Linked DNA regions of Callithrix jacchus. The protein of the gene in region 2 interacts with the protein of the main gene of each other region in a pairwise test. Links are inferred from orthologs where the notes say so. Each region holds a gene or a part of one and is shown on either strand. Other genes may lie near its edges.

The links. The genes of interacting proteins can lie anywhere in the genome.
Region 1: the proteins of STK4 (region 2) and SAV1 interact in binary tests that used the Homo sapiens proteins (3 or more experiments, as listed by UniProt). The link is inferred for Callithrix jacchus from reciprocal best matches to the Homo sapiens genes STK4 and SAV1.

Annotation. Positions count from the first base shown.
Region 1 is NC_133509.1:85,225,830-85,229,401, forward strand, and holds part of SAV1 (protein salvador homolog 1), read right to left. Parts: intron 3,423-3,572; coding exon 2,979-3,422; intron 1-2,978. UniProt on the Homo sapiens protein: Regulator of STK3/MST2 and STK4/MST1 in the Hippo signaling pathway which plays a pivotal role in organ size control and tumor suppression by restricting proliferation and promoting apoptosis.
Region 2 is NC_133506.1:40,426,122-40,429,693, forward strand, and holds part of STK4 (serine/threonine-protein kinase 4), read left to right. Parts: intron 1-2,776; coding exon 2,777-2,935; 3' UTR 2,936-3,572. UniProt on the Homo sapiens protein: Stress-activated, pro-apoptotic kinase which, following caspase-cleavage, enters the nucleus and induces chromatin condensation followed by internucleosomal DNA fragmentation.

The sequences.
Region 1 (3,572 bases), on a different chromosome or scaffold from region 2:
ATTAGCCAAGTACGGTAGCAGGTGCCTATAATCCCAGCTACTCAGGAGGCTGAGGCAGGAGAACTGCTTGAACCCTGGAGGCAGAGGTTGCAGTGAGCCGAGATTGCACCACTGCACTCTAGCCTGGGCAACAAAGCAATACTCTGTCTTAAAAAAAAAAAGAAAAGAAAAGAAAAAAATGACTGTTATTTTAATAGGAATTGTACAGAATATGTAGATTACTTTGGGCAATATTGTCATTTTAATGATGTTAATTCTTCTGATCCACAAGCATGGGATGTCTTTCCACTTGTTTTTGTGCTTTTCAATTTCTTTCATCAGTGATCTGAAATCTAAATTTTTTTAAATGACATACTTGAATTTGAAAACTTATAATTAACTTTTACTTTATTGGAAAGTTGTTTTAAAGTCTGTTTTTAAACTTTTAAAAATTATGTCAAATTGCTCCTAAGAAAGGATCAGTAGAGATTTAGTTCTTATAGTATTTCCTCGACTATATTTTGCAAATTCAATTTTGAAAACAAAAGTTTAACTTATTATTTATTCTTCATATTTACATACTTATAACTCAGGTAGAAAAGTATTACAAGCTTTCAGTGATGTCTGCAATATAGATGGGAAAGGTGAATGCAAAGAGTAACACATATTCTATAGCAACAGTAAACATGGCTATTTCTGTTGCCCCTCAGCTACCAAAAACTCTCTTAAGTCTCCAGATTTAAAACCTCTCGGTTCATTCACTCATTCAGCCATTTATTTTTGTAAGCATCTGTTAGGCAGTCATGTGGCTGTGCTAATCCTATTTGACTCTTCTTTCTCCTTTGTCCTTCAAACCCCATTAGTGGTCAAGTCCCATTAATTTGGGCATGACCCACTTTTTCCCCTTTCCAAATTTTTGAAGTACAGGTCAAGCCTTCATTAACCACTGAATATGCACCAAATGGAAGATTATACAGTCATTAAAACTACTCATAAAAAGTATACAACATGAAGAAAATGATTCAAGTAAAAAGCAAGAACAGAAAACTATACAAAATATTATATAATCACATCAATATAAAAAAAGAATTTGGCATGAAAAAAATGAAGCAAATAATATACTGAGATCTCTAGCAGATGGGTACTTTGCCTTTACTTTGCTGCAGATTTGCTGCCTTTACTTTGCTGCAGATTTCCTATAATAAGCAGTTATTATTCTAGAAGAAAATATAAACGAGCTTTATTTTTTAAAACTATTTTAGTTAGATAACAAATTATTCCTGAGGTTCAGAAGTGCATATCAGAAACAACCAAAATAAACACTCAAGCATGCAGTTGTCTTAATCCTTTAACCTAATTCTTTAAAAACGAAAAGGTGCTCACCCATGGCTCTTACTGCACTTCTACATGCCCAGAAAACCTCTGCTCTTAATGTTCCAGTGAGACTCTGATGTCAGCTTTCATAAATAAGTTGTTCTTACCAACTACTTCACGTTATTTAAAACTTCAGTGATTTGCTTTCTCCTAAACTCTAATTCTCATTTTTCCTTCAAAAACGTCCTAGATTTCCCTTTCCTATTACCACTGGTACCCACTGGTACCTGCAATCCTCTTTTCTCTAGGAATCTACCCTTAATTCTAGTACAAAAGTAATCTTTAAACACTGCTTTCATAGAATCACTTGTCTTTTTGAAATGTGCAATAACTTCCACTTGACTCAAATCTATAAGCCTATTGTTGAACCACAAATCTCCATTCCATGTTACATCTTATTTCTTCAAACCAGGCAGAGCTACACTGTTCGTTAGATTTAAACCAGGCCTACTCTGTTTTCATTGTGTTATTCCCAATTTTCCACATAAAATGTCCTTCTTCTGGCCCCTGTTCATCTAAAGGCCAAGCTTGAGGCCCAGTCCAAGTCCAACCTCTTCTATGAATCATCTCTTTAAGTATTTCAGTCTACACTAATATCTCTCTGACTCCCTGTTGCACTTACAGTTAGTATCACAAAGTATAACAATTGCTTTGTGACCATTGTGTATAAACTGGTTTTGTTTCCCCAAAGAAGGTACCAGACAAATAAGGTACCAGAAAGCAGAGACCAACAGGCCCAAGGAAAACGCTAGACACGTAAACAATTAATACTAAATGAATAAATTTTTCTACAGTCAAAATACTAATGCTCCAAAACATTTTTAAAGTCACCTTATTTGAACTTATGTGGGCCAAAAAGTAAATCTCTCTCATATTTTATTTTTATCCTGCCAAAATTTAAAGTCTATTACTTGGTAGAAAAAAATAATCAGACAAGAAAGTTTTATTTTCTTCTTGCTTCATTTTATCTAGTGAAACCAGGACTTTAGGAATAAAGTAGAACTGTACATTTCTCCAATCTCTTCTGCTTCTTTCAGAAGTATCTCCAAGTCAGAAGATATAAAAAGTACCTTACTTTCCTTAATTATATGGTAATATTTTTTGCCTGTTACAAAAAGAATAAAAAGACATGCTCAACACACAACCGTATGGCAGTAAGTCTTTCTGATCAACTCAGGAAAGAATTCCTGAACTACTAAATCAGTTTTGTTCAAAGAAAAACTGCAGTAATGTACTTGCTCACGGTATCACTGAGCATGCCCAATTCTTCCTATTCTTTCCTTTCCCAAGTTTAAGTCCAGTGGCTCTGAAGATGTACCCTTCCCATTATTCTACCAAATCTGAACATAAATTCAACCCAACTGGAGACATTAAATTCTCTAGGTTTACAAGAGTCACAGCATTAAGAGACTAGACAGCCTTGAGATAAGAACCAGGTTTATACAACACAAGTTAATTCATTCAGTATAGATTACCAACTATTTGCACACAGGCTTAAGCAAGACTAGCAAAGTAGAAAAGTATTTTGCTAGGAGTATTAGTTTGTGCCCCAAGAAAATCTAGAAAAGAACATCTTTTCACTTGACATGTCAATAAACTACTATAGTATTTATATGTTAAGCTACCTGAAGCATGCCTCCCCTGATTCTGAGGCATTCTTTGGAAGAGATCATGGTTGTATTCATAATATCTGAATTCTTCATGTGTACGATCTCCAAGTGGCCGCTTTCTCTGACCATCAAAAAAATTGTCTGAATAATAGTATCGGGAACCAGAGTCTCCATTTTCAACAGCAAAATTAACTTCCGTTACAAATGACTGAGAAGAGCCATACTCTCTAGGGACATCTGCTAGACTTCTGGCAAGATAAGAAGGTGCAGATAATCTGTTGCTTTCTCTTCTCATTATTTCATGAGGTGTTCTTTGAATTGGAGTTCTAAGGAAACTCTGGTTTCTTGAAACTACCCCATCTCCAGAAGCTGAAAAGGCATTAGGGCTTGAATCTGGAAGACAGATATCAGTTCGTCTGGGAATTGTTGGACCATGCCGGATGAATGAAGGCATAAGATCTATAATGAAACAAAGGATAAAATTAGCCTTTTAATAAGTAACAAAAGCAGTTTTCAAAAGTTGTTCATTTGTGTCTACAACCCCAAAATCAAAATGTCAGTAAACTTAAGAAAACACAATTTTGGGCCGGGCACGGTGGCTCACACCTG
Region 2 (3,572 bases):
TACTCTTCATCCTAGTGGCTGGATGAAAAGCAAGTCTACCTTCCTGATTCCCAGCTCCCCTTCCTTCACGCTATTTTTTATTTTCTTTTTTTCCAGAGCACCTTCTAATGTAAAAATAATTTACTAATTTGCTGTTTATTGCTGTTTTCCTTGCTTCACTAAAATGTAAGCTTCACAAGGGCAGTGATTTTGTTTTGTTTTTTTCACTGAAGTAGCCTATGTGCCTCGAACAGCACCTGACTCATTGAGTAGGTGCTCAATGAGTATTTATAAGTGGATGGGTGAAAAATACTTTGTTAAACTGTACATAATAAGTTAACAGGAATTATGTCCCAGTCCTTAGGCATTAGCACAAAATAGAATAGAATATTTTCTTTTTCACATGTTTCATTCTAGCTTGAATTAGAGGTTATAGAAACAGCTTCTTTATGGAAGATTGGAGACTTACCAATCATATATACAATAACAATGATATGAATAACAATAGCAACAATAACAACAGTGATAACTTCCATTTATGGAATATTTACATTCCATAATGTAGGCACGGTGAAAGGCACGTCTCACATGGTAGCAGACAAAAGAAGAGAGCTTGTATATTAAAACAGAGTAATATAGTAAATTGGTACCAGGAGTGGTACCAAATGCCAAAGACTAGGCAATATTATTCCATAAATGGAATATTTACTGTCTCTCCAACACATCCCATGTGAAGTTCTGAGCAAAGATTATCACACCATTATCTCATCTAAGACTTAGTACAGATGAAGGATAGAGGAACAAACTAGTATTGTCTGTTTTCCAAAGGAGGAAACTGAGGCTCAAGAGGCGAAATTACTGTTTAAGGTTAAATAGCCAGTGCAGATTGAGGACCTGTGATCCCAAAGATTACATTCTTAACTACCCGTTACATTCAGTATTAGGCTTGGGGAATTCTCTCTTTGCAGAAGGAATAGAAAATGCCAAAGACTAGGCAAGCACCGCTCTTTGGGATGTCCTTGGGCCAAGAACACCAGCCTCTAAGGTAGTATAAAACCACAGGCTGGAAAGACGCATGTTTTTTCAGCCCAGCTTTCCAGTATTTACCCACACTCTCAAGTCTTTCCATCCTCACGTTACAAAGAACCTTTCGTCTTGTACTATTAGGGTTTCCCACTTCTCAGACACCCTCCCTGGAGCAGGCCAAGGAAAATTCCTGTGGTGACAGGTAATTTCTAGGAAGGCCACTGTAGCACTTCATACTTGCTCACACCCCACCCACTCAAGGAAGGGTAGACAGAAAGAGGCTCCTTCACCCAGCTTCTATACTACTTTCCTGTTGAGGCCACAGAAAGGGGCTGAGGGTCATGATTTTCTAAATGTGGACACAACAGCCCTCTTGTAAGACTTGGGTGAGCCTTTGAGTTCTTGAAACGCTGTACCTATTAAAACTGGTTGTGAACACACAGAATAAAGTATCACCACCCACTGCGGATAATGTCAGCATTCATTCCCACCCCTGACAGCCAAGACTGGCCTGGCTTGTAATCAGTGAACACTTCACACATGGCAGCAGAGCCCCTTACCCCACAGCTGCAGACACAGGTTGAACACTGGTGCACCCCTGGGCCTTTATGAAAAGAAAGGCTTGTAACACCCACTGCCATCTTTACACACACAGTGCACTAGGTACTGTGCTGAGAACTTCACAACCATGATCTCATTTAATTCTTATAATTAAATAAGATGAGGCACTGCTGTCCCACTTCGGTAGATGGGGAAGGCCTGGAGAGATTTGTAACTTGTCAGAGTCTTATGGCATCTGCAACAGGCAGAACCACATTTTAAACAAAGGTTGAGTTAGTTCTGGGCTTTGCTAGTCTGCTCTTCTGTAACAGTGGTTAAGAGCATTGACTCTGGAGCCACACTGCCTGGATGTCAGTCTTGACTCTGCCACTTACTATTTGGGAGACGTTGGGCAGGTTACTTAGCTGCTCATCTGTAACATAAGGATAATAATGTCCTCATAGCGTCGGCTGCTGCAAAGATTAAAGGAATCCATGTATGTAAAGCACTCAGTGTCTGGTGCATAGAAATCACTAAATGCCAGCCATTATTATTAATTTATGTATCTAGTCCTTTTTTTCTCTGCTTCATAGAAAGTTAATTTCAGAAGTTTCAGGTTTGTCCAACTACCCACCCTTACTCCCAACCTCTGCCAAGGGTTGAGTCTATATTCCCAAGGGGCTTAGAGTGCTACCTGCTATATAGTAGCCTCACATGAATGCTGGTGATGATAATGTGGCAGTGCCAAGACATTGGGGGTATGGGAAGGCAGGGTTAGGGGCTGGCATCTGCATCTCGTCAGCGTCCATCCTCCGTGGTATTGTATCCTGAAAGTGTGAAGGGTGCTATCCAGATGCTCATCTTGTGGACAGAACAAGAACCAGGAGGCAACCATTATTTCACGTATAGCAAGTTACTGTTATTTTAATGCCCTAAAAATGAATCTATATTTATTTAAAAGCTAGCGGAGGTAAGAGTATTATTCACTAAGTTCCTGGTCAAGGTACATTAAATCAAAGAGGTTAGCACTTAGAACTCTTCCAGGGACAGATTATCTCAGACAAGCTTCAAGGTATGTCATTCTTTGGAATAAATTGTCACTGTTCAACCACCACCTCCCAACAGTGACCTCCTGTCTCCCTTCCTTTTGGGTGCCTGGGAAGTCAGCTTCGCCACTGTTCTGCCACCGGCCTAAGCTTTATCGTGACTATACTTTCCACTTCTCTTCTAGCTTAAGAGTTGGACAGTGGAGGACCTTCAGAAGAGGCTCTTGGCCCTGGACCCCATGATGGAGCAGGAGATTGAAGAGATCCGGCAGAAGTACCAGTCCAAGCGGCAGCCCATCCTGGATGCCATTGAGGCTAAGAAGAGGCGGCAGCAAAACTTCTGAGCAAGGCCAGGCTGTGAGGGCCCAGCTCCACCCAGGCTGTGGTGAATTCTGGATGGCTTGCCTCACATTTGTTAGCCAGCACTTCTGCTCTGTCATTTCTCCACAGCACCTTCGTGAACTCAGGAATGTGCGCCAGTGGGAAGGGCTCTCTTGACAGTCAGCGTGCCATCTTGATGTGTGTATGTACATTGGTCAGGTATATTATTTCAAAGGATTTATATTGGCGCTTTCAACTCAGAGTTTTAAACCCCAGTAACAGAGACTCCTAGTTGAGTGATAGCTGGGAAAGTTTTACATTGTCTTTTTGTTTTTCTTCTCCCAATAGCTTTCAATTGTTCTTTCTGGAAGACTTTTAAAAAATATATAAATATGCATATATATATATATATATAAATTATAAATAGATTCCCCACTCAGTGTGGTGGCATCTCTGTACAGGTACAGTTTTAAACAGTTTGCCTCTTTTCTGTAAGATTATGGTACTGTGGAAATGAGACATTGGGAGGCTGTTAGGGGGTCACTGAATCCCCGGAGCCAACCTCCCCCTTTGAAAGGCTACATTTACAAATTAGGTTTAGGACAGTTCTTTTACCATGGTTTCAGCCTTGTGTGGTCATCACTGGCTTCTGGAGCTACT